Alligator mississippiensis: one gene and its partner. The protein of the gene in region 2 purifies or fractionates together with the protein of the main gene of each other region. This does not show direct contact. Links are inferred from orthologs where the notes say so. Each region holds a gene or a part of one and is shown on either strand. Other genes may lie near its edges.

Evidence for each region. Proteins that work in one complex are often made in the same cells at the same time.
Region 1: the proteins of TLE1 (region 2) and HES1 purify together in Homo sapiens (affinity purification with western blotting; 4 studies listed by BioGRID and IntAct, with this or other methods). This does not show direct contact. The link is inferred for Alligator mississippiensis from reciprocal best matches to the Homo sapiens genes TLE1 and HES1.

The regions. Positions count from the first base shown.
Region 1 is NC_081830.1:88,907,781-88,914,788, reverse strand, and holds HES1 (transcription factor HES-1), read right to left. Parts: upstream 2,065-7,008; 5' UTR 1,869-2,064; coding exon 1,572-1,868; intron 1,494-1,571; coding exon 1,406-1,493; intron 1,331-1,405; coding exon 834-1,330; 3' UTR 570-833; downstream 1-569. UniProt on the Homo sapiens protein: Transcriptional repressor of genes that require a bHLH protein for their transcription. May act as a negative regulator of myogenesis by inhibiting the functions of MYOD1 and ASH1.
Region 2 is NC_081826.1:201,770,855-201,778,843, forward strand, and holds the start of TLE1 (transducin-like enhancer protein 1), read right to left. Parts: upstream 3,048-7,989; 5' UTR 2,609-3,047; coding exon 2,585-2,608; intron 2,265-2,584; exon of another isoform or gene 2,192-2,264; coding exon of another isoform or gene 2,177-2,191; intron 1,901-2,176; coding exon 1,800-1,900; intron 1-1,799. UniProt on the Homo sapiens protein: Transcriptional corepressor that binds to a number of transcription factors. Inhibits NF-kappa-B-regulated gene expression. Inhibits the transcriptional activation mediated by FOXA2, and by CTNNB1 and TCF family members in Wnt signaling.

The DNA of each region.
Region 1 (7,008 bases), on a different chromosome or scaffold from region 2:
GGAAATGGGGCATGACCAAGTCAAAGGGGTCACTGCCTGCCGGGGCATGGATCGGAGGGTCATGGGCACAGCACAGCACCGCTGTTCCTCCCACACCACGTGCTTTCTGCACCGGGGCTGGGGAAACGCTGCCTTATCAGAAACACGTGCCCGGTGTTAATCATCCCGGCTGGCCTCAGGCTCCTTATCAGGCGGGACTCTGACCCTCGGGGCTCCTTGGGTGAGGTGGCTCAGAGGCCCACGCCTGGCAGTCAGCGGCGCAGGTTTGGCTGGCCACGCAGCAAGGTTATGGTTCTGGGTGCGGTGACCGTGGTGGCACCGCTCGGGGTCATGCCGCAGCCCGGGGGAGGCAGGTTTGTCCTTTCCACAGCTGCAGTGGCTCCCACTGCTTCTCCCCAGGGATGGGGCTGGGACTTTGGGTGAGGATGCTGTCCGCGCTTTCGAAAAAGAGGAGCTCCTGGTCCGTGGGTCTGAGCAAAACGCTGCTACCGCAGCAGGGACTGCATCTTCCAGGCGGGCCAGCCCCAGCCCTGCAGGAGCCGGGGCACACGCAGCAGCAGGCACCGGTCTCCGTCTTTCCCCGCTCCCTCCACAGAGGAAGGCGGGCGTTTATTTGTCAAAGAGCATCAGAAAGAAAAAACAGATCTTTGGTGTCACATTCAAAAAAAAGAACAAAACAAAAGAGCAGGCGAGACGCCGGGCTCCGCTCTAGCTTGGCCAAGGCACAATCCCACGGGAACAGGGCGCTATGCACAGAGGCGGCCCCACGCGTGCCCCTCCTGGAGCAGTCTCAGTCCCAGTCTCAGTCCGAGCCCCGGTGCCGGCAGCGAGGCTCACCAGGGCCTCCACACCGAGTCTGCCGGGCCGGGGGGCGCCGTGGAGGGCGGCCGCGGCGGCGGTGGCGCTCCGGGGCCGCTGGCGTAGAGGGGGACGAGGGCACCGCTAGGCGCGAAGGCCGTGCTGGGGATGAGGAAGGCGAAGTGGCCGTCGGGCGCCGGCACCAGCTGGAAGCCGCCGTAGACCTTGGCGGGCTCCCCCGCGGCGCTGCCCAGCTTGCAGGGCATGCCGCCCAGGGGCGCCGCGCCGCCGGGGAGCTGCGCCAGCGGCTGGCCGAAGGCGGCGGGCAGCGGGGGAGGCGGCGGTGGTGGCGGCGGGGGGTAGTTCACGGCGTGGATCTGGGTCATGCAGTTGGCCAGGTGGCCCAGCAGCCGCGTGCGCACCTCGCTGCTGACCCCCTCGCAGGTGGAGAGGAAGCGGGTCACCTCGCTCATGCACTCGCCGAAGCCGGCGCGGTACTTGCCCAGCACCGCGGGGTCCGTGTGCAGCGCGGCTAGGAGCAGGGGGCAGTTAGAAAAGGGTCTCCCGCCGCCACCCCGCTCCCCCCCGGGCTGCGGGACCCGCTCACCGGTCATCTGCGCCCGCTGCAGGCTCCGGAGGTGCTTCACAGTCATCTCCAGGATGTCCGCCTTCTCCAGCTTGGAGTGCCGCGAGCTCTGCGGGGTGGCAGCCGTGAGCGCGGGGCCGGGCCGGGGGCCGCGGGCGGCGGGGAGGGGGCGGGGGGGGGCACTCACGTCTTTCTTCAGCGCGTCCAGGATCAGCGCCTTCAGCTGGCCCAGGCTCTCGTTGATGCGCGCCCGGCGCCGCTTCTCCATGATGGGCTTGGACGACTGCAAGAGCCGGGCGGCATGAGGGGCAGGGGCCGGCGCCGGCGCCGGGGCAGGAGGTGGGGCAGGGGCAGGGGCAGGGGCAGCCGCACTTACCTTGCGCTGCTCCGCCGCCGTCTTGGGCTTGTCCGGCGTGGCGCTGCCGCTGGCGGGGGCGGCGGCCACGGGCGACGCGGAGCTCTTGCCGGCGAGGTCCGCGGGCATGGTGCGGGGCAGGGTGCGGGCGGGCGGGCGGAGTGCGGCGGGCGCAGCCGCGCGCGGGTCTTATATCGCGGCCGCACGCGCGCGGCTCGTGTGAAACTTCCCAAACTTTCTTTCCCACAGTCACTTTCCGCCAATGGGCGCGGGGGGCACGCGAGCGGCGCCCCCCCATTGGCTGCCCGCCGCCCAATGGGCTCGGGGCCCCGCGGGCCGGCGCGTCCGTGCGAGGCCGGGGTTAACCCTTGCCGCGCCGGCCCCCCCGGGGCCGGCGGGGGGTCATTAGCGGGGCGGCGGCGGGGCCGGGGCACGTGCCGGGAGGAGGCTCCGCGGGCGGCGGGAGCAGCTGCCGCCCGAGCCTGGGAAAACCACTCCCCCGCGCGCCGGCCGCGGGGCCAGGCTGGAGCTGGGCTGCAGGGTCCCGGCGTGCACGGACACGGGGTGGGGGTGTCCCCGCTCCCGGGCCTTGCTGCTCCATGTGTCGGGGGGCAGGGCCGGGGCAGGGCTCCGCTGGTCCTGGCTGGGGGTCTTGCCGCCGCGCTCAGGGTCAGCCTGGTGCTGTATTTGGGGTCAGGAAGGGTTTGTACCCCCTGGTGACACTGGTCCGGACTGGGGAGGGGCTTGCTTTCCTCTGCAGCAGGGACACAGCCTCGGCCTGGGGCCTGGGGTGGTCGTGGAGGAGGTTTGGTGGGAGCAGGTCTGTGTTGACAGATGGTTTGTCTGGGCTGGTTTGCACGGGGCTGGTCCTGCCTCGAGCCGGGGGCCGGACTGGATGTGACCTCTGGAGCTCCCCTCCAGCCCCGCTTCTCTACGTGTCGGTGACAAGGTGGCGGGCAGGGCGAGGTGTGCGAACACGACTGCCCAGGTTTCCGCGGGATCCAGCGTGTGGCCAGGTGCCCGGGGCTTTCCGATCGCTCGGGGACTCGGTCCGACGTGGAGCGCGCACTAGGAGCTGGCGCTCTGCTGCAGCCGAGCGAGGGGTCCCCCAGCCTAAACAGCTCGAGCAACACTGCTTGAGCCCCGCTCGCCTCGGACTCTCCCCTTATGGCTACCGCGTCTATTCTGGAGGGCCGCAGCATTTGGGGTCTGGTCTGTCAAGGTGCTGGGTGCTGCTCATCCCCCCCGAAGTACCTGGGGGTGCAGGGCAACTGGCTCAGGCCCTTCCAAGGCTTCCTAACCCAACAGGCCTTTCCCCCCTGGGAGAGCACAGCCTGTTGCTTGCAAGCAGGGCCATCGTCCCGCGGCGATGGGACGAAAGCAGGGCCAGGACAGCACCATCAACCGCTTCAGCATGGGCAGAGATGACTGCTCCTTGCCGTGAGAGGAGGCCGAGAGACTGGTCGGAAAATTCTTATTTTGCAGGTAATTAACTCATCTGTCAGGACAGGATCGTGCCGTTGTTTGCACTGGGCTGTTTACCCTTTTGAGGCTCATGTGGCTTGGAGAAGCGAGCGCCGACGAAATGAGGATGGAGGTTGCTGGCCCCTGCCCCGGGGCTGGTCTGCGGGAAACATCTTCACACGCTGCAAGCAGGCCGAGCCCGGTCATGTTTTCCGGCTGGAAGGAACAATGCAGCTTTTGTCGACGTGGAGTGACAGGCACCAAAAAAAAAAACCTGGTCATGAATGGCAGGGGAGTTGGGTCCTGGCAGCCTTAAAGGTCACCCTGATGCTGGGCTGTGTGGGGAAGAGGGTTGCAGAGGTGCCCCCTCCCCTGCCCCTCTGCCAGGGTGCTGCTTGTGCCCACATATCTCCAGCCAGGGTCCCCTGCACCGCTCGGGTCGGGGGCTGGATTGTCCCGACAGTCACCTGGTGTCACGCCACCGGCTCCAAGGCCTGCACCAGCATGGAGGTGGGCAGGATCGGGCCCAGCTGGGCTGGTTCATCTGGAGAGGAAGCAGCGGATCCTCCGGCGGTGGATTCCTGGCACCCGCGGCGGTGACCGAGGCCAGCGGCTCCTCTCCGTTTGCTCTCATCAGCAAACGCTTTGCTGCTTCGCATGCTTCAGTGTTTACTTTATAACCAGCCAAGAAGCCGGTGCTCGGGCACGCTCCGGGAAGCGTCCGCCCTCGGCGGGGACGGGGCTGCTTCCCCTTCGTGGCTTCCAGCCTTAGCTGGGAGGTTTTGTGGGGTTAGCTTCAAAAAATATTTTGCCTGAGGACTTGAGCCTTTTTTCCCCCCCCCTCTGCTTGACTGACTTTCTCACACTCCTATTCCCATCGTCTGCCAGTTAAGCCTGAGTCACCCTGCCAAGAACTAGCCTTGGCCTATTCAGAGCCTTTTTTTTTTCTTTTTCTTTTGCTTTTTGAGTACACACAGCAATGTTTTTCCTCCTCCTCCTCCTCCTCCTCCTCCTCCAGTACCTGATCTGCACCTGTGCAGAGCCAATCCCACACATATCACCTGATCTTGCCTTTTCAGAGACCGTGAGAAAAATAAAGTCCAGGAAAGAGGAGACATGTTTGCAGATCTCACCAATGCAAAAGCTCTCATCCCTGCGGACACTTGTGTACACAGCCAGCCCCGCTACAAAGGAAAAAAAAGAAAAGGAGAAAAGAAAAGAGGGAGGGAGGCATGTGTTAAACTACAGAAAGGAACAAATCTGGGTTTCCTTTGATTCAGCAACATGACTTTGGACTTAAACGCAAATAGCAGCCTTCAGCGTGTCTGGGTCCAGATGAGCAGGACTTGGCACATGCTGCAGCCAGTGAGAGGCTTGGACACACTTTAGTAAAGAAGAGATCAAGAGGCTGAATCAGGGAAGTGGCAGCTAGCGATCCTTTTCCGCCTAGCCCTGGTGGGGAAGGCCCGTATAATTGATGACAGACTGGAGGCCTTAGCAGGAATATTTAAAACAACCCTGGGGTGGAGACGAGCCCCGCCAGTCTGCGCACGGGATGATTTGACAGTGGTGGAGGAAAGAGCCCTTCAGCGGGCGGTCGTGCAGGAGGGACATGCAGAGCACAGCTGCTTTGCAGCTCTGGGAGCATCCCCCCTTCCTTCGCTGGCCACTGCCCCCATGTTGAAAACCAGGAAGGACTGAGCCCCCAGGCCTTGCTGCAGGCCAGACCTAAGGCTTGCATTTCCCAACAGGTGGTGGGAGAAAAAAAGCAGCCTTTCTGATGCACAGATCCATGCCCCTGGAAGGCCTGCCCCGGGGGGGCTTGCTCCGAGGGCAGTGGTGACGCCGGGTGTGGGATTCCCAAAGCTGGACACAGGGTTTAGCACTGGGGAGGCCACATCTGGAGTCCTGTGTCCAGCTGTGGGTCCCCACTGCAGAAAGGATGTAGACACGTAGAAAGTCCAGCGGAGGGCAAGGAAAATGGTTGTAGGCTGGGGGTCAGGACTGGTGAGGAGAGGCTGAGGGAAATGGGCTGATTGAGTCTGCAGAAGAGAAGACCGAGGGGGATTGAATAGCAGCCGTCACCTCCCTGCAGGGGGGCTGCAAAGAGGATGGAGCTGGACTGGTCTCAGTGGTGCAGATGACAGGACAAGGAGCAATGGGCTCAAGCTGCAGCAAGGGAAGTTGAGGTTGGATATTAGGAAAAACTTTCTCCCTAGGAGGGTGGAGAAGCGCTGGAGCAGGCTCCCCAGAGAGGTTGGGGAATCTGCATCTTTGGAGGTTTTGAAGACCTGGCTTGACAAAGCCTTGGCTGGGATGATGTAGTTGGGGCTGGTCCTGCTCAGAGCAGGGGGTTGGACTGGATGTGGCCTCCTGAGCTCCCTTCAGCCCTCGTCTGTGATTCAGGGCTGGAGCGATGCTGAAGTTGGAAGGGCGCCTCTTGCAGAGGGTGTCACTGCCTGCTCCCAGCGCTCATCGAGGCAGGTCTGGTCTGGTGTGGCCTGGGCTGCTCCTGTTCTGGTGACTTGGGTCATCACTGCAATCTTCAGGACCTTTCCAGCAGGAGACACAGCACTGCCTACATGTAGGGCCTCATCTCTGCTGGCTGGGGATGTCCACGCGGGTGCAAACCCCTCACTGCATGCCCCACGTGTCCCTGCAGGCTGGGGTATCCGAGGGGTTTGCCCCTTGGAGTCAGCGCTCCTGGCCTGGCCCCGTTTCTGTTTCTTGCTGTTTCGTCCTCTGTTTCTTGGCTGCTGCAGCCGGCAGGCAGCACTTGCAGATGGCACGACTGCTGCTTTGGCGCTAGGGCCCGGGCGGCTGGTGGCCCATGGAGAGTTGGGCCCTGCTCCCAGGGCTTGGCCCTGAGCGCTGCATTCGTTGTGCTTCAGCCTGCGCACATGGCACTGGCTTGGATGGTTTGGAGCTCCTGGCCTGGTGCTGCCAGCTCCTGCTTTGCCATTCCCCGCTCAGGGGCGCCCCATGGAGGGACTGTTGTGAGCATGACCCCCCTACAGCTTGCCGGGTGGGCACAAGCCCCTCTCTGGGCAATGAGATGGAGATCCCAGCCCTGGCTGCAGCAGCTGCATGGGGTGTTAAATGGCCCCGAAACCATGTGAGTGCTTCTGCAGGATGGTCCCACCCGTCCTCACCTGGCACCCCGCTCCACTGGACCCGGGGTGAGCAAGGTGTGCACTTGGCTTCTGACAGGCTGAGCCTTGGGTTGTACACACCCCAGGACTCCCGACCCAGCAGCCTCTGACTAGGGGCATATGGTCGGTCACCCGTGTTGCAGGCGGGCATAGCCAGCGCAGGCAGGCAGCCCCTGGGCAGGGACAGTCCCAAATCTGGCGGTTCCTTGTGCCACCTGTTGCTGCGTGCACGCTGCCCTCCCGACCTCTCCCAGGCCTCGTCACTGCCCTCGGTGACAAGAACTGGACGGCAGCTGTCACTTTCACAGCTCAAAGCTGTCATCACGCGCTGAACCTTGCAGGGCAATGGAGCCTGCCGCCAAAATACTGCTAAAGCTATGGTGCACCGCGGTGTCTGAGAGAGAGGGCCCTACAAAAAGTGTGTTTGTCACACTTTGCCTGTCTAAAACACAGGCCAAGACAAAACAGCTGCTATGCAACCTCACGCTGTACCCTTTGGGGTCTGCTGCCTTCTGGGTCCCAGGCACGGGACATATCCTTGGCTCTGCTGCTTAGCCATCGATCCACTCCTGACAAGAAGATCCAGCAGAAAGGAGACGCTGGCATGTCGGCAAACTGCAAAAGCTCGTAAATCATCATGGCTGAACAAGCAG
Region 2 (7,989 bases):
TTCACTACAGTTTAACTCCTAATGGGCTACAGTCGTGCACTGAAAAGGAAGTAAAACAAGTAAGAATTACTGACACAGCTACTTCTATAAACTTGTTTAGGTTCTGGTTCTAAGCCTTTATTTCGAGTGATCTGACTGTTTAGCTGGGTCAAACATGACTATTTTTGGCTTTAAGCATTACTTAAAAGTCAGTTCGACTTTAAAAAACTTAGAATAAAAATAAAAACTAGTTTCACATAACCAATTCCAATGCCTTTGTTAAAATCAAAATATTATTTGCTTCAAGATAGGGACTAACGGTCAACTTAAAATAATATATATCAGCGAGAAAACAACCTTTAACAAGTGGTGAATGTGCATGCTCAACTTTTTATTCATACACATGTAGTTTACATTAAGAATTGCACAATTTTAATTAAGGGCTTTTTGATAAGCCAGTGCTCATCTACAGATAAGGCCCAGAGACCACAAGATCACGCAAGACAAAATATCTAACCAAAGTCTTCAAGAAATAAGAGAATTTGTATGCAGAACCCTATATAGATCATCTCTACACTATAACAAGATAAAGCTGCATGCCAAAGAACACAGTCTCTGTTAATGCCAGAAGTGCTGTGCATGCAGAGAGAGGAAGCAGATCCTCAATATACACACAGAGACCTTGGCACAAAGTATACAAACTAAGAACAGCATGCTTCAAGGCTGGGAGAGCAGCCATTAATGACTGCTTCAGTAGATTTAAGTCATCTTTTCAGTGGTATTCTGATGAGTTTGCTTTCTTAAAAAAGAAAAAAATAAAATAATCTTCATCCCCTGTTTACATACCAATTACTGGCATTTCCTTGATCTTTTCATTAAAAATGCACACCATAGAGGACAAACTACCATGAGAATTAGCTCCTTTAATATTTCCTGCTACCAAGTTAGACTGGATATTCTCTCAATTTACTTTGCCCTTACCAAGGTTTTGCACTCAAGAATTCTAACACACTTTTACAAAGGTGAGTTAAGTTTCACACGACCACGCTAAGTCAAACAGTCTCCCCATTTTACAGATGGTCGCACTGCATAGTAAAGCTAGCCCCAACTCCCAGCCCACATCCTTAGTCTACACTGCCTCTTACTGAACTTTTAAATTAACTGAGCAATTAAAGAAATTTTTTTTTGCAAAAATCTAGTTGGTCTAATAAGAGATCACCTCTACCATGAGTCCCGATTCCTTTTGCCTCTAGACCAATAAGGCTACAACCCGGATACCTGACATCTTATTGAACTTGAAGTTCTTACTTCAACAGTAACTCAGTAGTGCAAGGATGGGGCAAGAGTATCCACTGACCTGCTTGTTCTCAGCCTAGCCCATCAGCAAAAGAAAACACAAATATTGACAGCTCTCAGGAAGCTTTGAACGCACACGAATAAAAGTTCAACCGGACATTGTTGCATGGGATGATTTGGATAAGGATGATCCTGCCTCAGGCAGGGGGGTTGGACCACAAACTCTGCAGGTCCCTTCTGGCCCTGCTTCTCTACAAATCTAACAGCAGCAAAAACAGTGAAAACAATGGCAAGTAGAGAGAGGAGCGAATGACAGGGCTTTATCTGTGACTCCGCACGCCACCATCTGGTGACAAATACAAACGGCAGTTGCTTTTCCCCCAGTGAGCACAGAGCAAGAGAGAAAGAAACACACCCTGCTAGCCAGCACACTGCGTACCAGCCTGAAATCCTCCTCGAGGCAGGATGTGGCCCAATTCTCTGATGCAGAGAGAGCAGGCAAGAAGCCGGCAGGCAGGACTCACCTGTGATACTGCGCTTGGAGGAACTGAAACTCCTCTTTGATCCGATCCAGGGATTCCGGGATAGTGAATTTGAAGGGCTGACCTGCAGCCTGGTGCGGCGTCTGAGGCAGAGAAGAGAGAGAAAAAAAAAGAAAACCTTGAAACAAAAGCAGGCAGGGCACGCTAGGGACCACAGCCCAGCTCCCTGAAGCATCCTGTCAACTAGGGTCCCTTCTGCAGCATCCCACCAGGAAAGCTAGTGGGACGGGCACTGGGAGGGAGCAGCCTGCCAAGCTCCATTGCTTCCCTCCCCTCGCACTTGTTACTCGTTCCCCCTCCTTTCCAAACCAGGTGGCCCCTGCCCTATGCCCACAACTCCCCCAGCCCCTCCCCCTTACAATTGTCACCACCATGCCAGGCAGGGCAAGGGGCCAGCTCCTCCCCACAGTTACACGTGAGGCCAGGGGGGGAGACAACTCCCCAGCCCCGGCTGAGTTTGGCTGCAGCAGAGTGGAGAGGGAGAAGGAGCCAACCTGGCAGCCAAGGGCAGGGCAGCCCCTCCCCTCCCCTGTCATTTGCATGCAAATAAGTTAGACATGAAACAAAAGGGAGGGGAAGAGGGGGGGACAGGAAGCCCGGCACAGCCAGGGGTTCTGGGCTGGGGGGGGAGGGAAGGGAAGGGAGCGGAGTGGTGGGAACTCAACCCCCGCCCCCCCGGGCCCGGGCTAGGAGAGGGGGAGCAAGACCCCAGTCCAAAAGGGGCAGGAGATGAGGGGACCCCCCCGCCCGGGGCACGTGCTACTCACAGGATGCCGGCTCTGGGGAAACATGGCTCTGGCCGCAGCCGCGCTCGCCCGCAGCTCAGTCCTCGGCGAGGTAGCCCCAGCCGCCGCCCGCAGCGCCGCTCAGCGCCCCCGCGCCAAGGGCATCCTCCTCCTCCTCCTCCTCCTCCTCCGCCTTTGTTGCTGTCGCCGCCGCCGGGGCAGCGGGGCCCCGGGCGGGCGGAGCGGGCAGGCGCCTGCTCCGCGGGACGGGCCAAGTCTCGGCGGGCAGCAAGGGAGCGGGTCCCGCGGGCGCTCCTCGGCCACGCGGCAGCAGCGGGGCGCCGCTCAGCACAACCCCGCGGGCGGCATCGTCCCCGCCGCGCAAGTCCCCCCGGGCGCCGAGCGCGGCTCCCCTCGCCTGGCCCTGGCCGAACCCGCGCTCCCCGTCTCTCCCGCTCGCTCGCTCGGCCGCGCTCGGTGCATTAACACGCGGTTTCGCACTCAGCTCGGCGCCCGGGAGGAGCGGGGGGGCGGGGCCGCGCCCGCCACCAATCGCCTCCTCGGGGGCCAACGTGGGGCTCTGACGTCACGCCCAATCGAACGCGGCGCCAGAGCTCGCTCCGGCTCGCCCGGCCTCCACCAAGAAAGCGTTTGTGGCGGGGCCGGCCCGGACCCCTCCGGGCCGACCAATAGGAGACAGTGGAACTCTCCGAGAGGCAGGGAGAAGGGGAAGGTCGGTGGAGAGGCTGAGCTGTCAATCAAAGTAACGTGGGGGCGCCGGGAGGGGGGGCGGGAGCAGCGCGCTGGGCGCCGCTTTGTGCCGCTCTCTCGCGGCGGGGGGGGCGGGGGATGAGCCGTGTCCCAGGCTCCGGGTCAGCCCTGCTTCGGGTACCTCTGCTCAGACCTGGCTGTCCAGGCGCGGAGCAGAGCTGGGAAGCAGGAGAGAGCCCTTCACAGGGGCGGCTGGCCCGGCCCCACCTTCAAATAATCATAATAAAGAAAAAATGAATCAAATTTAAAAAAAAATTAATTTAAAAATGTATTAATAAAATATATTATAAAATAAAATTATTTATTTATTTATTTATAAAATAAGATAGAAATAAAAATTTATTTAAAAATAATTAATTAAGTCAAGCTGCAACAGGGTTCCCAGCCCTGACTTGATGCCCGCTGGCTCTTTCTACAGCTGGCTGGTCATTTTTAACCCTGCGGGCCCAGCTGCATTTATGACACGCTCTTCCCCAGTTGGTTGTGTGATATACACAAGGTAGCAGGGGCCCGAGGAGCGTGGCACAGCAGGGTGGGTGGAGAAGGACACTGCTATGTTCGTACCCTGTCTACACACGTGCAATTTGACTTGAAATCCCACTTGCTTTTCCTTATCGCCATTAGAGCCCATCAGAGGCAATTCCCAAATGGTGCACACGCACACACAAAAATCAGCCCCGTTCTGCTCTCATTTATACTCATTGCAAGTAATTACATCCCCCCGGCTGCATCCAGATGAGCACGGTCATGGGGTGTGGGGGTCTGCGGCGCCATATATGGCACATTCAGGTGTTACCCGTGCTGCTACATTACAGTGTGTGGGCAGGGGGGAGGTTTTGATCTGGTGAAATCCCAGGGTCAAAAAAATCTGTGCGGGGAAAAAAAGCAGCGTGGTGCATGTGGTGGCAATGCATGCCACCCAAAAACTGGAGCCTGGCAGGCCGGAGCCACCCTCTGGCTACCAGGTTCCCAGCTGCAGGGCTGCCATGGCTGCAGCTTCCCAGGACCCCAGGTAAGGCTGCTGGAGCCAGCAAAGTTGCTGATCCCAGCTTCCTGTACCCCACCCAGGGTAACCTGCCAGAGGGCATCTAGCACGGGCGTTCCCTGGGGGCAAGTAGCAACCACACAAGGTGTGCGGCTGCTTCTTGTCCCTGGGGAATCAAACGTCCTCACTTGTGTAGACACGGCCTCAGAGGACAAGGATCTGATCGTGAGTTGGCCTGCGCTGTTTTTTGTTTTCATCCCAAAGAGTTGACATCTAATGCAAGCAGGCATATGTGGCCCCTCTCCATATTTTATTTATGGGTTCCATGCAGATATAAGTGCACCTGCTGATAATGTACTCAGAATAGGGAAACTATCATTACAAAGGATGAAAAGTGCCAGCTTGATTTAATGCGTTGCAATGCACAAACCGCAGCGGTAGTGACCCTCAGAAAGGACTGAAGTTGTCCTTTGGGAAAAATTGACTTCTTTACAAGAGGGTTCCACTGGAGCCGAGGAGCCAGAAACTTCCACTACTATAAATAGTTTATAGTTCTATTTGAAGTAGAGCAGGGTCAAATAAATTCCACATGCTCTGTATGTGACTATGGCCATGCCAAATAGTGACACAGCCTGTAATGGGAAGTAAACTTCAAAACATATCCTCTATTACCAACCATCTTATTCATAACAGAGTTGAATAATGTAGCATAAGTAGCTTTCCACATTTTCAAAATGTTAAGTGTTATTATTCAGGCCTTATGTTTTACCTAAAGGTGTTATAGGAAGTCATTAAAAAAGAGCAATTTTGTAGCAAATGTTTTCTTATTCTTCCCTTTAAATTTGTATGCCATTTATTGATCCCTAATCCTATCAGACTTCAATCTATATTTTAAAAGAAGAACAGATTATGTTTAAAGCTTGATGTGAATGAAATCGTTAGGTCCCTAAATACAAGCAAATGTTGACTTGGTGTAGTTCAGAGTGTGAACATTTATGCTCTATTATTCCCAGTATCGCCAACGTAAAAATGACAGGGGAGGAGGAAGCCTTCCGCATTTGCCTATGAATATTTGACAGAACACATGATGAATTTTGAATTTCTCCACGGCCCCAGAGGTCTGAAACTGAATACAGTTACCCAAGTAAGAAAGTGGATTCTCTTCTTCCACCTATTTCTTAAGGGCAGTCAACACAGGTTTGCTTCTCTCTGGGAGGCAGTGGTTGAGTCACCAGAATGTGAATTTCCTTACTGATTTAGGCACATGCCTTGGAGTGAAGATTCCCCGCGTTCTTTTCCCAACTCTGTCAGCAATGTGTTGCATTACTTAGACAAGTCAGTTCACCTTTCCATGCACTGGCCTACACATGTATAAAATAGGTATTATCCTATTTACCTACTTCACAGAGGTATTGAGAACTTAATTAATTCTTATGAATCACTTAGATCTTCAGATGAAAGGTGTCATAAAATGCAAACTCTGATTATATAAGGTGTCTGTGAACCTGGTAACTAGGCAACCTGAAACAACAATACAGGCAGTTTACCCAAGTTTGGTTCTACTATGTTTAACCTGATGGCACAAGTTGCTAGTAAAATATAAACAGATACAATGTTAAAACAACAGTCTATTTCGGGGCATAAACAGAAGTAGTTTTGTAATTGCTTCCCTCCACGAAAGCTGAAATGTTTTGCACTGTATATTTAGCATGCTTAAAATTTTCAAGGCACACTTTAACATTTCTTTGTTTCATTTAACAAATGCTTTTCAACCTACTGAGACTGGAAACTTGAAAGCATTTTGAATCTCTTCTATCAAAGTCAGAAGGGAAGAGCTGTAAAAGCAGGAGTAGAACCATGCATATGGAGGCTTTTTGATTTAAGGGAGTAGCTACAAACATCTAAAAATAATGTAGACTAATTCTTTACATGTTTAACAGTTCTTACAGTTCATCATAGTTTGATAATGGAGGCCCAAAATATGCTCTTGATTGTACCAGTGTAAATCTGGAGTAGTTTCTTTGAAGTTAACTCCACCTGAGTCCATGGCATGACTCAGTATTTCTAAAAGTGGAACCTGGACCAGATTTCCTAGAAGTGGGTTTGTTTCCCATTAAATTAATATTTCCTTCTGGATGTCATCCTGTAATAAATACACAATAATATCCCTCACACTGCATTACAAATATCTGTTTGACCCTTTTCTTATGATTTAAACAAATATATAGTAAACATAATCTGCCTTACATATTAAAATACTTCCACTACACAATACCTTCTGATTCATTATTATGTCCACCTTTCCATTTGAAGTCTGATAGTTTTTCCCCATGAGCATACTAATGTAATGTTCTTACCTCAGACAACTTAGAGCTTAATCCTACACTAAATATCGAAGTCAGTGGGAGTTTTGATGGACAAACAAAACAGAATTGGGTCCAAAGTATGGTCTGAATGTATTATCAGGTTTCAGATGCAGCAGCTTGCTTTGTTAGGAAAAGGAGGAATGCTATGGTGCTCCATTTACCGTGTGTGTGTGTGTGTGTGTGTGTGTGTGTGTGTGTGTGTGTGTGTGAGTGTGTGCGCGGGCATGCGTGTGCACTAGTTCATTTACTGCTGACATTATTGGTTCCTACCAGTTTGCATGGATGAGTTTTGTTTGTTTTTTACTTCCTACAAAGCGACAAAAACCCTGTAATAAAATGTTGATGAGGTTAATTATCAAGACATCACAGGGAGGAAAAAAAAACACTTTCTGAGATCTGGATAATGGAGTGATAAAAGATATGCAATTAGAGCAATTATTGAATTCAGTAAATTTTTACATTTTTAAAGTTTTGGATTTAGAATTCTTTGTATTTTAATGGAAGAAGAAAGAGGAGTTGTGTATTTAAAAGATGTTTTTAAATGAGTATACAGCATGGCAAGATGGCAAACACAGAGACCAAAAAGCTCCTAAGCCATAGAATGAATGCAATAAAGTAGATTTACATTGTGAGAGGCGTAATTATGATGACAACATGCACAAAAAAAAATTGGTTTTAAGATTCACCCTTATCTATACATAATGATGTGGGTAGACTGTTGTGAATATTTTTCATTACTTGATTTCTTTTAAAATTAGGATTTATTTTTGTTGTGCAGGAATGTTTGAAAAATTCCAGCAGGACATTTTCCCATACGCTTTATACTACCTTCTCCCAGCCTTTCACCCTTAAAAATTCTCCAAGTCAAAGTAGGAAAAAAAAAATCAGTAGCAGATCATGCAGCAGTAAAACCTCAAATAAAATCCGATCCAAAGAATCTCTTGCGGTTTCACACAATATGGTAAAATTAGAGATTGCAGGAAACCAACAAAATTAAATTGGGAACATTTGAAGAGAAATGACCAGGTTTTATGAAAATGACACATTGACTGGCCAGTACGCTTTTTTTATCAACGATTTCTTTGTTGAAGCATACATCAAAAGAACCTGCATATGTTTTCATTTTGTTCGAAGTCTAACTAGAAAATTACATCCAGATGTTTAATAGGCATTCTGTTGGTTTTTCTGCATTGATTAGATATGTTGGTACTGTTTGCTTACAAGTGTAGCCGGATCATTAGCTAATGCAAAGAAATGTTTGCAGTGAGTTGCTAATTAGGTCTTTTGGAAACTCTCCATACTCAGGAACAATTTGTACGGTGGCC